Cricetulus griseus: one gene and its partners. The protein of the gene in region 1 interacts with the protein of each later gene in a pairwise test. Links are inferred from orthologs where the notes say so. Each region holds a gene or a part of one and is shown in the gene's direction. Other genes may lie near its edges.

Region 1 (4,103 bases):
CCAGGACAGCTAGGGCTACACAGAGAAGCCCTGTCTTGAAAAACCAAAACCAAAACAAATAAAACAAAACACACACACACACACACACACACACACACACACACACACACACACACACACAAACACACACACAAAAACAAAAAACCAAGGTGGGAACTGGGGACGTAGCTTATTAGGTAGAGTGTGTGTCCGAGCATTGGTGAAGACCTGGGTTCAGTACCCAGCACCATATAATCCAGGTATGGTGGTGCTGACCTGTGATTTTGGCACCCGGAAGGTGGAAATAAGAGGATCGGGAGTTCAAGGTCATCCTCAGGCACTTAGTAAATTTAAGGCCAACCCGAGGTATATAAGACCTTTCAAAAATAAAATAAACTAATGAAATGAAAATATGAGGTGGCCTGATGGACAAATTTGGGGTTGAATTTTGGCCTCCCCTCTGCTTCTATACACATACCTGCCCCACACTTGGAGTGATGGCTAATGTCTAGAGTCTTAGCACTTGTGCGGTGGAGACAGGAGGGTCAGAAATATCAAATCAACCTTGGCTAGTTTAATGTCAGGTCAGCCCGCAACAGGAAACCCTGTTGCACAAAACCAAAAAGAACCCCCCACCCCACCCCTGCCCTCCAGACAGGGTTTCTCTGTAACAGCTCTGGCTGTCCTGGAACTGGCTCTGTGGACCAGGCTGGCCTTGAATTCACAAAGATCCACCCACCTGTGCCTCCCAAGTGCTGGAATTAAAGGCGTGTGCCACCACCACCTGGCAAAACATTTCTTTTCTTTTTGAGTTGGGTATTGTGGCCTTGTCTACAAATTGAGAGCCGGGAAGGGTGGTGCATACTTTAATCCCAGCACTCTGGAGGCAGAGGTAGGTAGGTGGATCTCTGAGTTTGAGGCCATCCTGGACTATAGAGTGAGTTCCAGGACAGCCAAGGCAACCGAGGAAACCCTGTCTCGGAAAAACAGAACAAAACAAACAAACAAACAATTAGGAGTTCCAGGACAGCTAAAGCTATATTCTAAGGTCCTGAAACTCACTCTGTAGACCATGCTGGTCTTGAACTCACAGTCATCTGCCTGCCTCTGTCTCACCAGTGTGAGTGTTTAAGGAATTAAATGAATGTACCATAGCCAACACTTGGATTCTAAAAAACGAGAGGGAGAAAGAGAAAGAGAGAGACGAGATTGGATTACTGGTGAGAATGGTTCCTGAGAAGAGCCCCTGAACAGGATGTGAGTATCAATTTGTCAGTGCCCTGGCAGTGGGAAGAGTGAACACCCCTTTCTCTTGTAGGTGCCCCCATCTGGGTCCCAGTCACAGAAGATCATGATGGCGTATATGAACCCGGGACCTCACTATTCGGTCAATGCCTTGGCTCTGAATGGCCCCAGTGTGGACCTGATGCACCAGGCAGTCCCATACTCAAGTAAGTGTGCTCCTCTTCCCATCTCTGTCTTGTTTTTCCATCAGTCTGTAAAACTTTATTTCTAAAAGAAGTGAGCATTCTAATGACCACGGTACTATCTTTTCTTTGTCTCCGTCTCTTATTTTTGGAGTAGAGCTTGTTGGGCTGGAATCCAGGGCTTTCTTGGATTCTAGGCAAGTACTTTACTATGGAGCTGTGAGTCACCCTCACTGGGGGGTTTTAGGCATGTGCTTTTCCACTGAGCCACGCCTCCAGCCCTTCAACTCTGGGATTCTAAGCAGGGGGCTCTACCATGGAGCCACACCCCCAGCCTCCTGGTTCAGTCTCTAGAGGCCTGGGATTATAGTCCTGCACCATCATGCTGTACTATGGTACTTATTTAACAGTTCTCTTTTCTATTTCTTTCTTTTTTTTCCTCCTTCGTTCATTTTTGAGACAAATTCTCACTATGTAGCCATGGCTGGCCTGAAACTCACTATGTAGACCACATTTTTTTTTTCTTTTGTTTTGTTGAGACAGGGTTTCTCTGCAGCTTTGGAGGCTGTCCTGGAATTAGCTCTTGTAGGCCAGGCTGGTCTTGATCTCACAGAGATCTTCCTGCCTCTGTCTCCCGAGTGCTGGGATTAAAGGCAGGAGCCACCTTTTTTTTTTTTTTTTTTGTTTAGAGAATAAAAAAACGATTGCATGAGTTTTTGCATGCAGGATGGAAAGCAGGAGCCACGGCTGTCTTGCAGAGGTCTGAGATGACTTTTGGGAGTCATTTCTTTCCTTCTACCTTGTGGGTCCCAGGGACTGAACTCAGGTCTTCAGGCTTGTACATAATTGACACTGCAGTCTTGCTAGCCCACCTTCTTTCTTTTATATTGAGTCATAGAGACATCGCTTTTATGGGCTGAAGTGCTTGGTTTTTAACAACATGTTTCTACCGAATGTGTCTTTCTTTCTTTTTTTGTTTTTGTTTTTTTGAGACAGGGTTTCTCTGTGTAGCTTTGGAGCCTATCCTGGCACTCGCTTTGTAGACCAGGCTGACCTCGAACTCACAGAGATCCGCCTACCTCTGCCTCCCGTGTGCTGGGATTAAAGGCGTGCGCCACCAATGCCAGGCCTTTTTTTGGTTCTTTGAGACAGGGTTTCTCTGTGTAGCCTTGAAGCCTGTTCTGGAACTCCCTTTGTAGACCAGGATGGCCCCGAACTCTGCCTCCGGAGTGTTGGGATCAAAGGCGTGCGCCACCACTGCCTGGCCATGAATATGTTTTTATGAATAATAAGGTTCAGGAGCGGAGTCTGGTGCAGTGGCTCCTGCCTGAACTCCCAGCTATTTGGGAGGCTGAGGTAGGAGGACCAGGCAATCCCAGGATTTTAGGGTCGGTATGGGCTACATAGTGTAATGAAAGAGAAGGGGAGAAGAGAGAGGAAGAGGAGGAAGAGGGCGGAGGAGGGAAAGGAGGTTGGAGAGAATTGAGAACAAAAAGGGGCAAATCCTTGCAGGGCTAAAAGCAGTTCCCTCCTGTGGACATTTGACTGGAAAGCTCTGGAGACTTGAGCCGGTGCTAGAAGGCCGGGGAATAAACACAGCCCCTTGTCTGGGCAGAAAGGACAGGGCTGGTGTCCCACTGGATCAGGGCATCCAGCGAGCAGACCCAGCTAACCTGAGGGTTCTTTCATTCTCCCAAACCTAGGCGCCCCTAGGAAGCAGCGGCGGGAGAGAACCACGTTCACCAGAAGCCAGCTGGAGGAACTGGAGGCCCTGTTCTCTAAGACCCAGTACCCGGATGTGTATGCACGCGAGGAGGTGGCTCTCAAGATCAACCTGCCTGAGTCCAGGGTCCAGGTAGGATGTTCTGGAACTCTGCTGCTTTACTGTGATCTCTCTCTCTCTCTCTCTCTCTCTCTCTCTCTCTCTCTCTCTCTCCTTTTTCTTTTTCTCCTTTTTCTTCTTTTTCTTCTTCTTCCTCTTCCTCTTCCTCCCCCTCCTCCTCCTCCTCCTCCTCCTCCTCCTCCTCCTCCTGTTTGAGACAGGGTTTCTCAGGAGTCTATCCTGGAACTCACTTTGTAGACCAGGCTGGCCTTGAACTCAGATCTACTTGCTTCTGCCGCCCAAATGCTGGGAATAAAGGCGTGTGACATCACCGCCAAGTCCCTTACTATGATCTTCGATGGGTCCTTATTAGATCCAGAATGAGTGGAGGAAAGACAGGCCACAGAGTAACAGTCACAATTATGAAGTAGCAGCCGGGCATTGGTGCCGCACGCCTTTAATCCCAGCACTCGGGAGGCAGGTGGATCTCTGTGAGTTCGAGGCCAGCCTGGTTCCAGAGCGAGTGCCAGGACAGGTTCCAAAGCTACACAGAGAAACCCTGCCTCGAACCCCCCCTCCCCACCAAAAAAAAAAAAAACAAAAAAACAAAGACAGGGTTCTCAGTGTCCTGGAACTGACTCTGTAGACCAGGCTGGCCTCGAACTCAGAGATCTGCTTGCCTCTGCCTCCCAAGTGCTGGGATTAAAAGAGTGCCACCCCTGCCTGGATTTTTTTTATTTGTTTTTAATCTTAAAACTATATTTTGTTTTCCATGACTGGGTTTCTCTGTGTAACAGCTCTGGATGTCTTGGAACTTGCTTTCTAGACCCAGGCTGACCTTGAACTCACAGAGATCTGCCAGTCTTGCTGTCTCC
Region 2 (2,153 bases), on another chromosome or scaffold:
GGAAATCATGTGTGTTCCAGGCTGAAATCGTGAAGAGGCTGAATGGGATTTGCGCCCAGGTTCTGCCCTATTTGTCACAGGAGGTAAGCGAGCCACCAGCAGGGGGCCTTGGGGTTCCATCTGCCCCTTGCTGGGTGCCCCCAGGGCACAAGTCTGCCTGCCTTCTCTGAACTCATCAAAGAGAAGCTGCCGCAGCAGGACAGGCTTACTTACATCAAGGCATAAAGGGGAACCCCTGTGGGTGGGGTCAGATGATGGGGACCCAGGTGGGCAGGTGGCTCCTGCAGACTAGCTTTCAGAGGAAATCCCCCAAGCTGGATTCCTAGCCCTGCCTATCCCAGGCCCCACCCCCACTCCATCATCCTCCCACTGTCCCCTGAGTCCCTAGGACAGGACTTCCCTGTCATTACAGCAGTTGCCCGCTGCACAGAAGCCCCCCCCCCAATTTCTTTTCATCAATCCCACTTGATTGTCCCTTTGCCTGAGGGAACAGTCACTAAGCCCCCTCTGTCTCCTCCCCTTGCTTATTACAGCATCAGCAGCAGGTCCTGGGAGCCATCGAGAGAGCCAAGCAGGTCACGGCTCCCGAGCTAAACTCCATCATCCGAGTAAGTTGGAGCCCTGGGTGAGCATGGGATAGGTGACCCCCGGTGGGTTAATAACAGGAGATGCGGCACCCAGGTGGGCCCTGGGCTGACCCTGCCCCCCCTCCCCCATCCTGCAGCAGCAGCTCCAGGCTCACCAGTTGTCCCAGCTTCAGGCCCTGGCTCTGCCCTTGACACCGCTTCCCGTGGGGCTCCAGCCGCCATCGCTCCCTGCGGTCAGCGCGGGCACCGGCCTGCTGTCACTGTCAGCGCTGGGCTCTCAAACCCACCTCTCTAAGGAGGACAAGAACGGACACGATGGGGACACTCACCAGGAGGATGATGGCGAGAAGTCGGACTAGCTCCTGGGGAGGAGGACACAGGGGAGACAGGCACAGATAGGTCACGGTGTTCCGAGGGCCACACAGCACACAGCTCGGTCACTACCCAAGTTTCCACCCCCAGTCCTGGTTCCGGCCTTCTTGCTGTGCACCCCGGGTCTAGGGGACTCCAGAGAGGTACCCCAGGCTACAGGGAGCCGCAAGAAATCCCCCACCTCCACATTTACCCGGGCCACAGCCACCAATCTTGGCCCAGAATGTACACAACGCAACGCTAGCTGCCCCTTTCCACCCTGCACACCCAGAGTCTGGTCCTGACCCCTTCTCTCTCTGCTTCCCGCACTGCACACCTGCTAGGCCCAGACAACCCCCCCCCCAATCACCCAGCCTGGTCCCCTTGCCCACGAAAGAAGGGGACAGAGAGGAAGTGACTCGAAGGCACGGGGACTGCAGTGGGGGTGGGCACCCAAAAACTTCCTTTCTCCCCTTCCCCAAATAAACGTGAGGGTTCTGAAGTTGGTTTGTTTATTGTTCCTTTTTGCCCTGGTATTATATAGCTTGTCTTCTAAGAAAGGGGATTTAAAAAAAAAAAAAAGACCGAAGCCCCACGCGTGTCTGTGTATATAGTTAGCTTTGGTGCGTAGTCTTGGTCTCCCCGAGAGAAGGGAGATTGCTGTACTGAGGCTGGGGTCTAGCTGTGCCTTTGAAATAAAAACATGAAAAGGTTGGCCACTGTGTCCCTGCCTCTGTCTTGTGGGGTGGGGACCCCTTTCCTCAGGACGCCCCCGTCCCAAGACAAAGATCCCTCAAGCAAGGGCCCAGAGGGTGAACTATGGACATGGGGGGCACACAATACAGCTGTGAGCAGAGGTGGCTGTGGCACCCACAGAGAGTCACTAAACCCTGCTTACCCTCCCAGAGATGGCCTGAGTGCTTCCTGTATCTCTTCCAAGCTAGGCTGTCTCTGGGGAGGCCCTGGCACACATCTCCACTTGTTTTAATTTTTTTTGCATTTACTGGTTTGTTGCCTCTGTGTTGATCAGTCAGATGCCTTGCAGACACCTTGCAGGTGTCTCTTCCACCATGTGGGCCTGGGAATTGAACTTAGGGTATTGAACTTCACTGTAATCACCTCTACTGGTGGGGCCATCTTATGGCTCTGTTTTTGTTGCTTATTTTTTGAGACATGGTCTCTCTGAGTAGCCTAGGCTGGCCTGGAACTCCTCAA
Region 3 (3,500 bases), on another chromosome or scaffold:
CTAGTTCCAGGACAGCCTCCAAAGCCATAAAGAAACCCTGTCTCTAAAAACAAAAAACAAAAAACAAAAAACAAAAAAAAAAGAAGGGGGTTTAGTCAGGAGACCTTTACTCTGCTGGGATAGCTTTGTTGCCTGGTATTTTTTAAAATAAATTTTATTTTTTTTTATGTATGGGTATTTTGCCTGCATGTGTATCTGTGCACTATATGTTATATAGTGACAAGGAGGCTTGGATCCCTAGGGACTGGAGTTACAAATGATTGTGAGCCACCATGTGGGTGCTGGGAATGGAACTTGGGTCTTCTGCAAGAGTTAGGACTTTTTATGAAAATAATCTGAAAAGTATTAAAAGGAATATTTGATAGTCAACTTCCTTATAGCAAGATAACTTGTAGGTGGTTTCTATTTCTTGGTTTTGCATGTTGCTATATTTGCAAGTCTTAGGCAGCTGTGGATCAGAGGGTGTCAGAGAGTGCCTAGCTATGAGTGGACATAATTCTAACATGTAGAAATTACTGTTAAAAGTTAATGTTATTAATGTTACTATAATGGTGCCAGGTGAAACATTAAAATTTTATTATTTCCCTTTTAGTCATCCAAGCATTAGGTGAACATCTTAAATTAAGACAACAGGTTATTGCTACTGCTACAGTCTATTTCAAGAGGTTCTATGCCAGGTATGGCTGTTTTATTTTTTTGTTAGCCTGTTTGAGGTTCTCTTCTGATTTCCATATGCCATATATAAGTAAGTCACTTGATTGCTATAGAATTATGATTGCCTGATTACCCAGTGTGTCTTCTAAATGGACATAATTTAACTCTTGTCTAATCATGTTTTAGGTATTCTCTGAAAAGTATAGATCCTGTATTAATGGCTCCTACATGTGTGTTTCTGGCATCCAAAGTAGAGGTATAAAACAATTTTTTGCTCTTCATCAACCTATAATATTATGTACAGTTAATCTTTTTTTATATTGCCTTTGTATGGATAATCTTAAGGGGTAATTTATACAAGATAATACATACATCTTGCAAGTAATTTTATATATTTAATAAATATGGCACTTACTATGTATCAGATGCTTTAATGAGACTATAAGTTTTTGTTTAATCCTATAACTGTAGAGTATATAGCAATAGGGTAAAAGGGCCTTGACCTTGACTTGATCTGAGACCAGAGCCAGGGAGAGAACACCTTGACTCTTAAATAACCTGAGACCAAGATTAAGAAAAAGAATCCACCAGTCCCTGAGCTTGCACAAAATCAGGCCACAAAAATCCCACCAATTCCATACTACCCTGGAATTCTCTGCTCACCAAGAAACCCTATATAAAGCCTGCCTTCTACTCAGTTCCCTACTGCTTCTCATCCAAGCAGAGGCAGCCACCCTCCTGGGTTTTCCTTCCCTCCCAATAAATCTCTTGTGTGAGGTTTGTTGTGCAGCGTGACTTTGTAGAATGCCTTGGCTCCTGATTGCCGGGATGCCTTTCCCTTTAGACATGCAGCACTTCTATGGGGGAAGCCTTTCCTCTCAGAGCTGTAGTACTTTCATTGAGGAAACCTTCCCCCTCAGCTGACAATGCCTGCATTAGGTAAGCCTTTCCCCTCAGCTGTGATACCACCATTGGGGGTACTTCTCTTCAGAACTGTCAACACTGTCATAAGGGAAGTCTTTCCCCTTAGAGTTGTAACATTTACATCCCATTTTATAAATGAGGAAACTAAGGCATAGACCAGGATGGCCTCAAACTCACAGAGATCCTCCTGTCTCTGTCTCCCTAGTGCTAGGATTAAAGGCATCACCACTGCCCCCCTTAGATTACAGATTTTTAATTAAAGGTATTTGAATAGTTTTATTAAATAAAGGACCATTCTTGTTTTTTTTTACATTCATATTAAGTGAATGGTTTAGGAATCTTAAGTGGTTTATCTGAAATTAAATGCGAGTATTAAGTACATTACATGATAAACTTTAGCTATTTTATGATGGTAGTATATCAGGTTGAAAAGAAAATAACTTACCTACAAAGCCTTATATTTCATTATAACTGTTTCATTCTTTCAGAACTGTTGGTGTTTGGTCTTCTGAGTAGTATCAGCATTTATTTATTGATTGGTTGGTTGGCTGATTAATTGTGCTAAGGATTGAACATTCTGGATAAGCAATATACAATATACAATATACTTCTGAGCTATACTCCAACCCAAATTATTGAAATTTTAAGGAAAGGTAATACATTTAGAAATTTAAATGCTTCATCCATTAAGTAGGTAGCAACTGAACAGACTGTAAACATGAGAGGAGCTTGGAAAAACTGTTTCTGAATAGATCTCAGATATCTTTAATATTTACTGGGTTAGTAAGTACTTGATCTCATTCACTTTTCTCTAGGAATTTGGTGTGGTCTCAAATACAAGATTGATCGCTGCTACTACTTCTGTATGTAAGTGCAAAAAGTGTATTCTGCTTTAAAGATGAAATCCAAAGAAGGCTTTGTAACATACAGATTTTGTTTTGTTTATGACCCAAGTGTAGGTGAATTTATTACAGTGCCAAAGAATATCCTTAGCATATTAGACAGGAAAAAAAAAATGTCTGAAAAGATGTTTTTTACTGATGTAGGGTGTAGACCTGTAATCTCAGTGCTTAGGAGGGTAGAGGTAAAGGAGTTGTTTTTATTTTATGTTCATTGGTGTTTTGCCTGCATGTATGCCTATGTGAGGCTGTCAGAAGCCCTGGAACTGGGATTATGGACAGGTGTGAGCTGCCATGTAGTTGTTGGGAATTGAATCCAGGTCCTTTGAAGAGCAGCCAGAGCTCTTAACTGCTGAGCCATCTCTCCATCCCCAAAATGTCTCTTCTTTGATTTATTATTACTATTTTATGTGTATGAGTGTTTTGCCTGGATGTGTCTCTGTGCAAACATTTGTACTTTGTAATAATGGCCAGTGTTACAACATTTCACAGGTTCGGGCAAGGGAATCTGAGGGTTAAATAAAGACAAGACAGTGGCTCATTGTTGCAAGGAGAATGCCAGTTTATTTCAGAGGGGAGTAGACTTATATACCAACAGCTGTCACAGTAGAAATTTACTCAGACCAAGGTCCATGTCCCCAAGCCCCTCGGCAATGGGCAGATAGTTTGCATACAGGCCTAGGTGGAAGGAGGGAAATGAATGCCTAATCTCGAAGTGGACAGAGAACTCCAAGGGCACCTTAGGTCACCCAGCAGGGTCCCAACAGGACTTGGTGCCTAGGGAGGTGGTGAGCCTCCTTGTGGATGCTGGGAATTGAACCTGGGTCCTCAGCAACAAGAAGAATTCTTAACCACTGAGCCAAGCCAAGTCTCCAGCCTATACAACACATTTTTTACTTTCGTTATGATATTTTTTTTTTTTTGAGACAGCGTCTTATGTGAAACTTGGGCTTTTCCAGCTTCTACCTACCAAGAAGGATTGTTAATCTCCTGGTGAGATTATGGGTGTGGGCTACCATGCCT
Region 4 (2,766 bases), on another chromosome or scaffold:
AGACACACACAATAACGATGATGATGATGATGATGATGATGATGATGATGATGATGATGATGATGATGATTAATAGGGACCCAGCAGGGGTGGCACATATCTTTAATTCCGGCACTCAAGAGACAAAGGCAATAGGATCTCTGAGTTCAAAGCCAGCCTGGTCTACAAAGTTGAGTTCCTGACCTTGAAAAAATTACTGATGATGATGATGATGATGATGATGATGATGATGATGATGATGATGATGATGATTTTTAATTTAAGTAAAAAATTCTAGAGAGATTCCAAAGAAATTCCAAATATGCACTATAGAGTACTATGAGAATACATACTTTCCTTTCCTAAATAGTAATTTATTACTGTCCTTCTGGTTAAAGCTAATACTTTATTTATCCTTCAGTGAAATATTCACCATATTTATTTATTTATTTTATTTTTTTTAAAGGAACCTCGAAAGTTAAGTTACGCTGAAGTATGTCAGAAGCCTCCTAAGGAGCCATCTCCAGTGCTTGTACAACCACTGCGGGAACTGCGATCCAATGTTGTATCTCCCACCAGAAACGAAGAGAATGGAGCACCCGAGAAGCCTGTGGAAAAAACACACGAGAAACCAGAAACAAGGGCTAGTAAGGATCATTCTGGCTTCCGAGGCAATACCATTCCCCGGGGAGCAGCTGGAAAAATCAGGGAACAGAGACGCCAGTTTAGCCATAGGGCTACACCTCAGGGAATGACTCGACGTAATGGGAAAGAGCAGTTCGTGCCACCCAGATCACCAAAGTAAAAGCAAAACATAACAAAAACTACTCAGAAACTTCTCTCTTCCCACTAAACTTGAGCCTATATTGAACTGTTTTGAAGGGAGGAAGTAGCCAGGAAAGATGGGAAGTATGTCCTTAAATATTATGGATTTTGGAATTTTAAGAGGAGCCCAAAATTCATCTCTAAGTGATTTTCAAATGCTGGAGGATTCCAATCAGTATAAATATATATAAATATATATATATATATACACACACATATATATAAATATAATTTTTCTATTTTTGTTTTTGATTTTAATTTGCAGGGATTTCTGCCTGGAATCAATTTTGAGGGTTCAGATTTAGCTTGGGAGAGAAAACAAAAAACATTATACATCCTTCAGTATAGGAGATGAGGGAGTGAGAGAAAATATTTTTTGAAGAAACATTTCTGTAAAAATTAGAAATTACTTTTTTTAATCTATTTAAAGTTTGGCTTGAAAAATGCCATCTCTGACAAATGGCCTTGTGTTGCAGAGCAGGTCAGTAGCTGAGGTGTCTGTTCTGGGTGTGAGTGTGTGCAAAGTGATTGAAGCCAAATATGTTGTCATGTTAGTAAATGATTTGAAAACTGAATGTAATACTTGAGTAGATCTTTTTGTAGTTTGGAATTTAGTTTGTTTTTTGACATTACTAATATTGTATTGTACTGAGCTAGCTATTAAGCTCTGATTGTGTGTGAAGCTGTGACTACCAATCAGTCTGATATTCAAGAAAAGGATAGAGATGATTCAAAAGAAATTGAGAAATTCTGTTCTAGACCTGAATACTGGATAGGTCAAATCAATTTCAGAGGTTCAAACTGCCCTATGACTTTTTTTTTAATCCTCTTTAAAATGGAAGACAATTTTTTTTTTTACTTGTTTGTTAGTCTCTGTTCTTTGACTCTTCACCCCCAGAACCAAAATAACCAACCATTTCCTGGATTGTGGTTTCTCACTACTTTGACCAGCTTAATCAAATCATATATCTAACCTAAACGTTATAATGGATTATTGAAAAATTTTATTCTTCTATCAAAGAAATTAGAATTTTAGGATGCAGGATGGTACTGGCCTGCCATTAATTTATTTGTATTGGTGTTAAAAAAGAAAAGTGCTTCTAGATGGGGAGACAAACACATCTCTATCCCAGCTTCAGAGGCAAAGGCAGGTGCATCTAAATTCTAGGCCCACCTGGTTTACATGAAATACAGTCCATCCAGAACTACCTAGTGAGAGGCCCTGTCTCAAAAAAAGAAAGATTAAGCAATGTAACTGACTTTTTAAAATGATATAAAAGAGAAAAAATTTAAGAATTAATTTGGGGAGGCTTCTTTTTCTTTTTACAGTGTTTGTCATCTTTTCCCCTCCCCACCAAGAAATACAGTTTGTTATTCACTGACTAAAAACAGCAAGTCAAGAAATTTTTGAGATAAAGTGAGAAAAATGGTTGAGGAAAATAAATGCATAATTTCTCAGTGAATAAAGTTATAGCTGTCATATATTAAATAGGCAAGTTTACATACTGATATTTAGAAAACAGCTCAAATATGAAAAACCATGTTGGATTGATCTATTTGAAGTCATACCATTTTTATAGTTGTATGTAGGGTGGTGGTTTATTTTTCTGCTTAGGGATAGTTACAGTAGTAAGAACTGTCCCTTACATTAGTGAGTTACGTATGTACAAATTGAAACTGTAAATTGTGGACACTGGAAAGCACCATTGTGACATAAACATCGTAGTAATATATTTAAAATGAATGTAAATGGAAGTTAAAGTTATATTACTGTGAAACTGATCTTCCAACTCCTAAGTGTCAGAGATTTGTGTTAGTGGGTAATTCCTAAGAGCTTTGAAAACACTGCACAATTTGTGTAACCTGCAATTATTATTTCTTTGTAATTTATTTAGCTTGGCAATCGCTTATGGTTTGGTGGGTTGGTAACATGGTATATTTGCTCAGTTGGAAACGATTAGT
Region 5 (3,020 bases), on another chromosome or scaffold:
AGAGAGCCTGAGATAATGGGCACTGACACCACCTGGAGCTCCGCAGAGCCTGAGGTAACTAACGGGAACTAACACCCCTGAAGGTCTGTGCTCACTTGACAGTTAACTGAAAGATGAATGCCATGTACCAACTGCAAATATCATTAAATCAACACTTGGCTGGGGGCACTAATTAATCCCTTTTTTAAAATAGGCAAGTGATCCCTACAGGCGATGACGTTAGGATGTCTGCTGACTTGTACAAAGGCAGTTGTCCCACAGTAATAAATATAGAGCACTCTCATATCTCACTGCCTTCCTGAATCCACCCTGAATATTCTGTATTCTGTAGCTGTCTTTCTCTTACACAATACCATGATAAAGTTTAACTTGTAAACTATAACAAAAGAACAATTATAGCCATACATTATAATTCAAGTCATTTTAAACTTATACGTGCTGTTTATTTTTGCAGTGTTCCACTGGGTGGCGGCGGCGGCGGGGGTTGGGGGGGATATTAAACCAAAACTGAAACCTCAAAAAGCAAAATTGTGCTAAGGGGGGACTATTGTATGTGCATCAACACTGAATTAATAGGGTGACCTTGAGAAGGTTTTTCACGATTTTTGTTGGTTTTCTGTTACTGAAACAAAATACTTGAGACAATAAACCTTCAGAGAGGATAGATTTGTTTGGGTTTATGGTTTTAGAAGTTTGCAATCTGGTTCTGGTGATCCTTGCTTTAGAGCCAGCAACAAGGCAGTTCATCATGGTGAGGAGTGCATGATGGGAGATGCTCTTTACCTCATCACCTGAAACTAAAGAGAAAAAAAGAAAAGAGGGAGCCAATTCCCAACTGGCTCAGACTCTGCTGACGACACACCCCCGGTGACCTACAATCTCCTCCTATATCCCACCACTTTAAGAGTCCGCCATCTCTTGATGGTGTCACACTGGGGACCAAGCCTAAAACACATGGAACGTTGGAGGATCCTTAAGATCCAAGCACTAGCAGCAGTGTTTATGGAGGAACAGATAAGTTTTCCCTAGTCAACCTGATCCCATTTGCATTTCCCCCAAACCGTGCCGAGCAGGCAGTGAGCATGTGCAGAGCAGACCCTGGCATTGTTCAAGCCCTTCCACTTGCCAAGTGCTGATCTAAGAGTTCATGCATTTCAGGGTCACAGAAACCCTCTGAAGAGCTGGCTGCAACTAAATCCTGTACAATGCTGATTCAGAGAAAGAAAACACCCATTTGGTTAGGAGAGACAGGGACAGGATTTGAAGGCAGGTCTGAGTGGCTCCTGGGCCTCCACTATTAGGAACACATGGATGAGAACAGGTGCATCCATTGCTCAGCCACACCCTGCCTGACTATTGGGGACCTTCCTTGTTTCCGCACATCCACCAGCAGCTTCTGGACCCCAGGCCCAAATTGTGAATCTTAGCAGGACCTGGTTCACTATACAGAACCCAACAGCAGGTGTATTTTATTTATGATGTTGGCTGTTGGTATAGATGACTGTGTTCACAACATGTACATATTATATGTCATGGTGGCATGTGTTGTGTGTCATAAGTCTGTATTTGTGACTTTTTTTTTTTTAGGTAGGAAGCACTCAGGATTGCAGTGGAAACCTCAATAGCATGCCTGCCCCGGAAGCCACAGAACTGCTTGATATGACTGTTGATTCCAGCCTCCCTATTACAGGGCAGCCCTGCCCTTCCTTCCCAAACTCTGATGTTCACAGAGTCACCTATGACCTGGCCACCTTTCAAGAAGATGCAATGCTGACCTTTCAGAATTATTCAAATCCAAGAGTCTATTTGCCCAGACCACCTTGGAGCTATGAATTGGCGGGTCCTGTGGGTACAGGTTCAAGTCCGTATCCCACCCTGCATAAAGATTCTTCCAGTGTCCCTGATGACACTGACTGGGTTCATCTAAACTCACTACAATATAATGTCAGTTCATATGGCAGCTATGAGAGAAGCTTGGATTTCACAGCTAAATATCATGGCTGGAAACCTACACACAGAAAACCTGGCCTTGAAGAGAGAGTTGATTATGGGCAATGCCAGGCTGTGACCACATGCCCTTATTACAACCCAGAGCTGCCCTGCAGGTACCTGCCAGTGCCACCAGCAGGAACCCAGGCCCTGCAGACCGTGATCACCACCACAGTGGCCTACCAGGCGTACCAGCACCCTGCTCAGAAACACAGTGACAGCATGAAGGAGGTCAGCAGCCTGGCCAGCTGCACATATGCCTCTGAGAACCTCCCAATGCCCATCTACCCACAAGCCTTGGGCCCTCCAGATGCAGCCACGCAGGCAGCCTCTCCTCCGGAGAGAGCCCCCATGAAACTTCCAGGTGATTGCCAGGTCCTCAGACCCACTCTGGCTTTTCCTCAAGAGACAGATCCCTTCAGGACAGATGGAGCAGATGCGTGGGATGTGTGTCTGTCTGGGGTGGACTCTGTGACAGGTTACTTGGATAGAACAGGGCAGCCTTTTAACTTTGACAGTGAAGACTTTTAGAAGGATTCCAGGGAACACACCCCATGATAATGGAGTGCATGCAAGAAAATCCACGCAAAAGGGCAACCACCGATTGTTGAGATTAATTCACTTTGTATGTTTCATTTTATGTGTGCGCGCACACACACACACACACACACACACACACACACACACACACAGAGTTAGTATAAGGGTAAGCTAAGGATATTAGTGTGAAATGGTAGACAGGATGCTGGAGTTTGCTCAGCATTTTGAAGCCCACCTCACCACATAGGCTATTGGGAGTGTGAGTCTTCCAAATGAACACATAAATGAGCTGAAGGCCTGTAACACATGGGCCTGACTTCCCTTAGCTTACTAGCCAAGGTTCCTATTCTTTTTTTTTTTTTTTTCCATCTCAGGAGGGCTCTCCTGAGTCTGGAGACCACAGTTTATTCAAGCATCCTCTTAAATAGCTTTCCAACAGTATGGGTGATAGCAGAAGATATCTATTATCGTGTTAAAAGCTGATATCAACC
Region 6 (3,500 bases), on another chromosome or scaffold:
TTATTTAAAGGTTAAATAGACAAGAAGAATGATAAGTATTTGCATCTGTTCCTGCTGACCTAGTGACCTGAGTGACTCTTCCCTCATGTAGTTAGATTTTCTGGCTTCTTTTCTGGGGGATGAATCAGCCCTCCAGGAGTATGCCAGCAGGTCAGCTAGGTCTCTTAGCAGCACTCAGCTTCTGTGTTTGGTGCTCTCAGCAGGAGGGGCCTAGGTCAAATCCTGCATCTGATAGCTTTTATCTGGGACATGTTCTTTCAGGTCACCTCTTCTATAAATTTGGAATCACGGAATCTGACTGGTATCGCATCAAGCAGAGTATTGACTCCAAGTGCCGTACTGCATGGCGGCGGAAGCAGCGAGGCCAGAGCCTGGCAGTCAAGAGCTTCTCCCGGAGGACACCGTCCTCATCCTCATATAGTGCCTCAGGTATGCCCAGGAGATGGCTGCCCTGAAGCCTTTGTTCTCATGGAGAGTGCAGCCAGGGAGCTCGTTAATTCTGGCCCCACTCAGTGTGAGGCTGGCCTTTTGGGAGCTCCCTAGACAGTGGCAAGAGCATGAGGCCTGCATATCTTACCTTGTAGGTCCAACAAGAAGAGTTTGTGCTGGATCTACCTTATGTTGCCTGATTACTCATCACCTGAGTGTTCCACAGCCTTAAAAGTAATTACTGTTACTTGCAGCATGGCTGTAGGTGAAGGTGGAGGGCCTACATTGTGCTGCTCTTTAGTTTTACTTTGAGGTTGTAGACTCAGGCTTGTTCTCAAGATCACTGAGACAAATTCTCTGAGCTCTACCCATGGGCCTGCCCCCCTCTCATTATTCTAGTGCTAGGACTTGTGCCTGAGGGTCTTGGACGATCTTGGCTCTAGTACTTTGCACTGAACTATGTTCTCAACCCTAAAATAGTCTTTTAAACTCCTTTTCATGGCTTTCTTGGCAATAGCAGTAGCTCCTGAAAGCTGAGTCCTGTTTGGGGGTCAGCTCAGGACCCAGAGCAGCAGTGGGCAGGGGGCTGGCAGGGCTCCCTCTCAGTACAGGCTTTGTCCAGGGACTTTGTTTTGGAAGCTACAAAGCTAGTCACCTGGAGCCCTCCTTGACCATCTTCCTCTCTTATTTTGGTGGTTATCAGAAATTTAGCTCTAGTTGTTGCCAAGGTTCCTAAAGTGACACCTGTCCGAGAACAGGGAGCTGGCATGCCTGTCCTCAATTCAGCATGCCTCCCAAGGCACAGTTTGGAACCTGAAGAAGCAAGGGGCCTCTGGGAAGTATACAGCCGAATTAACAGTTGAGGAGGCAGACTGGTGCTGCTGTGAGAGCCCAAGTAGTGAACCTGCTGAACTTAGAAATGTGGTCCCATGTGACACAGAGTTCCCTTGGATTCTTGCTGTTTTCTGAGCTGAACATGCTTGCAGTGAATAGTAGCTGGGATTCTTAGCCAGTGTGCCCAAGCTCACATTGGGCTGAACAGGCATCCAGATGCTCACCAGCCAGAGCAAAAAGCCCAGGAGACAGGTCCAACTTTGGGAGAGAACTAGAGGGCCCTGGGTGTGCTTTCCCCAGAGAAAAGATGGTTTTTTTTGTTTGTTTGTTTTGCTTTTGTTTTTGTTTTTGTTTTTTTTAAATATTTATTTGTGTGTGTGTGTCTGTGTATGCGCATTGTCTCTTGCCTGCATGTAAGTCTATGCAACATATGCATGCTTGGTGCTGGATGAGATAAAAAGAGTACGTCAGATCCCCTGGAACTGGAGTTATGGATGGTCGTGAGCTACCATGTGGGGGCTGGAACTGAACCCAGGTCCCCCGAAAAAGTAGTAGTGGTCTTAACTGCTGAGCCGTCCCTCCTGCCATTCAAAGTCAGAACTTAAAGACAACCTGAGAAGATCACACTGGGCCACAGGTTTCATCAGTTTAATAGGAAGACAACAAAATCTAGACACCTAATCTGGGTACATTCACAAGGTTTCAGACCCAATACCAAGAAACAGGAAAAATATGACCTATGACCAAAACAGATAACAAACAAAACCGAAATCAACCAACCAACCAATCAACCAACCAACAACAACAACAAAAAAAACAACAAAAAAACCCCTAGTGACTAAGGAGGCCTTGCCTGGAATTAACAGCCCATGGCACTAAAATGTTAAGTAAAGTTATGTTCAAGGACTTAAAAGAGGAATAGAAATGTAGTAGCAAGGAAAGAAATAAGATTTTCAAAAAAATTGCCAAGTAGAGTTAGAGATGAAACATGAGGGAACAGTTTCCAGGGCCTGCGTTTCATGCAGCTGAAGCTGGCTGTTTATCTAGGACTTGTAAGGAATTATAGTCAAGTAGAGTTATTGGACAGTGTCTTGATGAGCCAGGTCGCACCCCAAATCTCTCACAGTTTGGTCCTGGTCTTGAAGCCAACAACAGTGGAGACTCAGGTACTTGTGCCTGTTTCTGTGGCTCCTGCAGGCTTACTTACTTATTAGTGGTTGGGCTCTTCTAGTTATTTGTGTTTCTTTCCACTGCTTGACAGTAGCTGAGCATGATGGTATTTGTATTCCATTTTTTAATTTCCAAATTTTTTCTTTTTATAATTAGTAGCTAGCTGCTTTATTTATTTGCTTATTTATTGATACTCTGTTTATAAACATAGTGGCAGCTTCTTTAAGATGCTATGGATGCTGGCTTCTTGTGTGGGCAGTTAGCCACTGTGCAGTGTATTAATTGCCCAGATTCTGAAAAGGTCCCCAGGAATGGCATGTTTGAGGAGTTCTGGCAGCTGTGACTGCTGGGCAATGGACAAACCCTGTAGTATGTGTCTGACTGAGGCATCATTCCCAGAAGGCACTGCCAGGTGGCTGTTCTTTTGTCCTGTTTGACCTGTGGTCTCTATCCTCCTGCCATTGGACATCATTGAGTGAGAACAGTGCTGACCCTGTTCTGTGGTTTTTGTTTGGAGTAGAAGAGAACATGTGGCTGGGAATGGGAGTCAGGAGGCTCAAGAACACCATGAGGCATGATTACTGTAATCATCTTCTGGTGGCTTTGGGTATGTATTGTTTGGGACTAGCTCAGAGCTGCCTGTGAGATAGTAGATATAGTTTCAGGTCATGGCTCATCATCAAGACAGGCACTTGCTTTCAGAAGAGGGCCTGGGCTGTCCTTGCCACTCAGCATCCATGGGGTCTGGTGACAGTTCACTGCTTTGTAAACTGATGATGAGGAGACATTTGTTGGCAAAGATCTGATTAAGCAGAGTGGGTGGTTAAGCCAAGGGACTTTTGGAATCTTTGTCTTTGTTCTGTCTGCATCTGCTGTTGCCTTAGCAAAACTATTCTGGTATTCAAGGCTATTTTGGTGATGGTAAAATGTAATTAAGCCAGAATTCTGTTAATTTGGAATTGGTATTAATTCCAGCTGGGTTGCCTTGTTACCATTGAATTATTAGCAGAGACAAGGGACCACCACAAAATACTGCAAATGAATTCACTTTTTTCACTTAAAAATAT
Region 7 (3,967 bases), on another chromosome or scaffold:
TTCACACATATTGGTAAAGTATTTATCAAAAGCTAATGAAACAACACAGGGTTTACTCCACAAATGTGTGATGGTATGCATTTTATTTTTTTTTAAGGAATGTATAATTGTTTCCTCATCCATCTGAAAACTGATTGCAGAAGGGCCAGTGACCGCAAGAGCAATAAAAGGCTGAAGCCACAAATCCTGAACTACCCTCTAAGATGGTACCCTTTGGGTTTTCCACAGAACAAATAAAAGTGACCTCAATATCTCAGAAGATGCCAGTTTTATTTTATTTTTTTCAAGTTTCACCATGTGGGGTAATCATATTTATGAAAAAAGATTTGACATCTGGATTACAAGCAAGATCAGGTTGAACTACCTTGAATTGTATTAATTAAACATCTTTCAATGTGCGCTCATTTAATTTTATTCATGCCCAAACCATATGAATAATGAAATTAGTACCAGCAAAACCACCATCGAAAATTTGGGAAAAAAAAGTCAAGAAAGAGGAGGAGCTCCAGTCTGGGCAACCACAGCATACATATACTTGTAATTTCAGCCAGCCTGGTCTACTTCGGGGAGACTTTGCAAAAAAGATAGGAGAGAGGGAGACCTGGAATACGAATGAATGAATGAGTGAATGAATGAATGATGAACAGATTTGGGATTAGGTGACTGCAATTTACTTTGTAAAGGAGAGGATGAGGTCCAAGGTGGCATTTAGAGCTACCTGGAAGTTCAGTGGCTCTGGCTGCCCTGATGAAGTGTGACCTCTCACAGAGGGTGTGTGAGTGAACGTGCCCTCCCTAGGCCTCCGGAGGGGCCTGGAGAGCTTCCTCGGGCGGATAGCACCGAGGTGAAGGATGGGGGCGGCGGCGGCGCATTCCCGCCGGGCTAACAAAGGCAGCGGAGGGACTTCCAGAGCCGGGAAGCCCGCGCGGGGCCGAAGGGTTAACCCGGAGCCCGGCTCCCGCGCGCATCCCGGCCCCCGCCTGCCGTCGCTAGGAGACGCCGGAAGTGGGGGAGGGGCGGCGCGGGTGGGAATCTTTTTCGGGAGCCCGGGGGCGGAGGGAGGGAGGGGAGCGCGCGTGCGCGTGCCCGCGCTGCCCGCCCGCCCGTCGCCGCGGTGACCGTCCTCGCGGCTCTCGCCGGCTCGCGCCCCCGCCTCCGTCCCCCGCCCCCTCCCGCCCTCCCCGCCGCGCGCTGGGGGTGCCGCTCGCTCCTCCCGATTCCCGCCGCGCTCGCCGCTGCTCCTCCTCTCTCAGGCGTCGCGGCCGCTGCCTCTGCGGGCTGTATGAGGAGGCGGAGGAGGAGGAGGATGTGAAGATGGCGGAGCTGCAGATGCTGCTGGAAGAGGAAATCCCGGGGGGCCGCCGGGCCCTCTTCGACAGCTACACGAATCTGGAGCGGGTGGCCGACTACTGCGAGAACAACTACATCCAGGTGCGTCGCGTCCCCCCGGCTGAGCGCGTCAGGTCGCGGGAGTGTGCGGGGCGCGCGGGGCGCCGCCGCCTGAGGAGGCCGCGCGGTGCTCGGCCCGGGGAGCCGCGCCGGGGTGGGGACGGGCGAGGGCGGCGGCGGCGGCGGCGGCGGCGGGAGGAAGCGGGCTCGGCGGAACGCCCCAGAAGCCCCGTGCGGGTCCGCGGTGCGGTGCGTGCGTGTGTGGCGGCCCGCCTCCTCATCGCTGCCCCTTTGCCCCCGCACTCTTCGCCTGTCAGGGTTCCGGGCGGCGGCGGAGGAGGTGGCGAGTGGCATTTTGTAGATAACGGAATGCTGCTCGGATGGCCGGGTTGTGTGTGATAGAGGGATATGTTACCTCCTGCCCAATTCCCAGGGGCTTTTAAGGGGTCCAGTTCCTGCAAAGTGAATTGCTTCGGTTTTCCCTTCCTGGGAATGTCCCCTGAAGACAAAACAAAAATACTTAACCCTTAAGTTTAATTTTTTTTTTTTAAGGTTGTAAAGGGGACACAGTGGGACGGCGTCCCTTATTACAAGTTAATGGCATTTTTCTCAATACAGAGAATGGGGAACTGCCCGATGATGGGCTGCTTTTCCTCCCCAATCCCCGTTAGAATAGGTCATTTTCCTATGGGAAAAAGAACTATGACTATTTTTCACAAAGATTTACGAAAATGAACCTTAGTTTTTTTCCCATGATGATTGCTTTGGCACCGGGACTCATAGTGGGTGTGTGTAGGAAGGTGAGAAGGTGGGGGAAAGACATTGGTGAGATGAGAACCAGCTGGTCATGGATGAATGTTAAAAATCTTATGGGTTAAAACAACGCTTTAAAAATTAACTAATGATTTTCAAATCCAGTATCTCTTGTTTTCCGTAGGGCATATACGGAATTTTGGGTTGTGCCTCGTTTATGTTCTCTGGATAAAGTGGAAGCAGGGTGTTAAGCTGTTAGCCCTTTTTAAACATTCTTGTTCCTACTCCCATCTCTGCAGATACCCTTATCGTAACCAGTTATATTGGAAAGCATTCTCAGTAGTTAGTATGAATTGTATATATTAAAAATTCTATAATTTATAGGTTCATAAGTTTTCTGGGGACCACATGGTTAATCAGAGATAATGTCATTAGGTTTTTCATTGATTACACATGTACTGAACTCTACTACTGTTGCAAACATTTGTGTTGGGGAATGAATCTGACATAATGGAATCCTTTTCCCTTCAAAGAAGGAGTTGAAAATGTGTGTTCAGTAGGAAGAAAGTGTGACTTTGGTTACAGATTGATTTAAAAACAAATCAAAACCCTAAGATACTTGCTAATACAGAGCTGTGTAGGAGTTAAAAGGTTTTATTGCTTAGCTTCACCAGTCTTCTTTGGCCCAGAACTGTTGATGGTACACTCCTAAAGTCTTCAGGGGTTTATAATGTAGTTCAAGAGGCTGATCTGTGAGCGAATTAAACCCATATTAGTACTATATATCGTCAGCCCTTCTTGTTGGAGGGTCCTACATTTGTGATTCAATAAATTGATCAGTGAAAATACTCCCTCTGTATAAATGCAAAGAGACGTTTTTCTTGTCTTTCCCTAAAAGATAGTGTTAACACTTAATGGGCATTTACATTTTATTAGGTATTGTAGGTAACCTGTAGATTTAAAATATGGAGGAGGATGTGTTATGGATAACATGTAAATATGCAGTTTTATGTAAAGGACTTGAGTATCCAGAGATGTTGGGATGGGGCTGTGGTGTTGGTGTGGGGGGTGTTCTAGAACTGATCCCTATTGGATACTGAGGGAAAAGTCAAGTATAGTTAATTTATACTTTGTAGTGGATTGTGGGTAGGGAGGTTTTGCTTATTTTCAGGGATTCACAGCTGCTAGGAGAGGCAAACCTAAAAGTGCTAATTCTGTTGCCTCATGTAGCATATTGTGGGAAAGTGTCTGTCAGAAGAGAAACTGGGGGATGGAAAAGTGATAGGATTGTAGTTGTAGCCGACTAATAAGAAACAGGTTTGTCTGTCTTTGGAAGATTAATGCTACTATGTTAGATTATAATTGCCACATAAAGGGAAGCATACATGAATTGATCTAGTGGAAAAGTGTAAAATCAGCATTTGTCTTAAATTTTATAATTCTAGCTGAAAGAGAAGTGTCAAAATTGGTATGTTATTTACGTACTTATTTTTGGTGTTGGGGATTGAGTTTAGGGTCTTGTGCGTGTTAAAAATATACTCTACCTGAATTATACTCTGAGCCCACGGTAAAAGCACAAATAATAATTTCCTAGAAATGGATTTTGAATTTTGAATCATCTGTTTTCAATTTAGCACCTGAAGTAGAGTTTGTACTTTGATTGCTTAGGTTGTCCTCTATTGTGGGAATCACTGGATTTATTACAGTTGTGCTCTCCCAGGTGACACTTCTTACATGATAACTAGAACTGGTGATAGTTGATTTGTGCTGACCCAGCTGTACATTTGACTCAAGAACTGACCAGCAGGGGTCCTGATGCTGTCTG

Evidence for each region.
Region 2: the proteins of cone-rod homeobox protein (region 1) and Tle5 interact in binary tests that used the Homo sapiens proteins (3 or more experiments, as listed by UniProt). The two-hybrid records come from large-scale screens. The link is inferred for Cricetulus griseus from reciprocal best matches to the Homo sapiens genes CRX and TLE5.
Region 3: the proteins of cone-rod homeobox protein (region 1) and Ccnc interact in binary tests that used the Homo sapiens proteins (3 or more experiments, as listed by UniProt). The two-hybrid records come from large-scale screens. The link is inferred for Cricetulus griseus from reciprocal best matches to the Homo sapiens genes CRX and CCNC.
Region 4: the proteins of cone-rod homeobox protein (region 1) and Larp4 interact in binary tests that used the Homo sapiens proteins (3 or more experiments, as listed by UniProt). The two-hybrid records come from large-scale screens. The link is inferred for Cricetulus griseus from reciprocal best matches to the Homo sapiens genes CRX and LARP4.
Region 5: the proteins of cone-rod homeobox protein (region 1) and Gcm2 interact in binary tests that used the Homo sapiens proteins (3 or more experiments, as listed by UniProt). The link is inferred for Cricetulus griseus from reciprocal best matches to the Homo sapiens genes CRX and GCM2.
Region 6: the proteins of cone-rod homeobox protein (region 1) and Banp interact in binary tests that used the Homo sapiens proteins (3 or more experiments, as listed by UniProt). The two-hybrid records come from large-scale screens. The link is inferred for Cricetulus griseus from reciprocal best matches to the Homo sapiens genes CRX and BANP.
Region 7: the proteins of cone-rod homeobox protein (region 1) and Abi2 interact in binary tests that used the Homo sapiens proteins (3 or more experiments, as listed by UniProt). The link is inferred for Cricetulus griseus from reciprocal best matches to the Homo sapiens genes CRX and ABI2.

What each region holds. Positions count from the first base shown.
Region 1 is NC_048602.1:10,446,645-10,450,747, reverse strand, and holds the start of cone-rod homeobox protein, read left to right. Parts: upstream 1-1,303; 5' UTR 1,304-1,330; coding exon 1,331-1,430; intron 1,431-3,109; coding exon 3,110-3,261; intron 3,262-4,103. UniProt on the Homo sapiens protein: Transcription factor that binds and transactivates the sequence 5'-TAATC[CA]-3' which is found upstream of several photoreceptor-specific genes, including the opsin genes.
Region 2 is NC_048598.1:102,314,988-102,317,140, forward strand, and holds the end of Tle5 (TLE family member 5), read left to right. Parts: intron 1-20; coding exon 21-83; intron 84-533; coding exon 534-608; intron 609-724; coding exon 725-946; 3' UTR 947-1,653; downstream 1,654-2,153. UniProt on the Homo sapiens protein: Transcriptional corepressor. Acts as a dominant repressor towards other family members. Inhibits NF-kappa-B-regulated gene expression. May be required for the initiation and maintenance of the differentiated state.
Region 3 is NC_048595.1:119,717,543-119,721,042, reverse strand, and holds part of Ccnc (cyclin-C), read left to right. Parts: intron 1-592; coding exon 593-677; intron 678-840; coding exon 841-910; intron 911-2,393; coding exon 2,394-2,445; intron 2,446-3,500. UniProt on the Homo sapiens protein: Component of the Mediator complex, a coactivator involved in regulated gene transcription of nearly all RNA polymerase II-dependent genes.
Region 4 is NC_048595.1:396,485,682-396,488,447, forward strand, and holds part of Larp4 (la-related protein 4), read left to right. Parts: intron 1-445; coding exon 446-784; 3' UTR 785-2,766. UniProt on the Homo sapiens protein: RNA binding protein that binds to the poly-A tract of mRNA molecules. Associates with the 40S ribosomal subunit and with polysomes. Plays a role in the regulation of mRNA translation.
Region 5 is NC_048596.1:260,738,836-260,741,855, reverse strand, and holds the end of Gcm2 (chorion-specific transcription factor GCMb), read left to right. Parts: coding exon 1-16; intron 17-1,591; coding exon 1,592-2,520; downstream 2,521-3,020. UniProt on the Homo sapiens protein: Transcription factor that binds specific sequences on gene promoters and activate their transcription. Through the regulation of gene transcription, may play a role in parathyroid gland development.
Region 6 is NC_048596.1:198,640,727-198,644,226, forward strand, and holds part of Banp (protein BANP), read left to right. Parts: intron 1-261; coding exon 262-429; intron 430-3,500. UniProt on the Homo sapiens protein: Controls V(D)J recombination during T-cell development by repressing T-cell receptor (TCR) beta enhancer function. Binds to scaffold/matrix attachment region beta (S/MARbeta), an ATC-rich DNA sequence located upstream of the TCR beta enhancer.
Region 7 is NC_048595.1:414,643,646-414,647,612, forward strand, and holds the start of Abi2 (abl interactor 2), read left to right. Parts: upstream 1-1,167; 5' UTR 1,168-1,314; coding exon 1,315-1,431; intron 1,432-3,967. UniProt on the Homo sapiens protein: Regulator of actin cytoskeleton dynamics underlying cell motility and adhesion. Functions as a component of the WAVE complex, which activates actin nucleating machinery Arp2/3 to drive lamellipodia formation.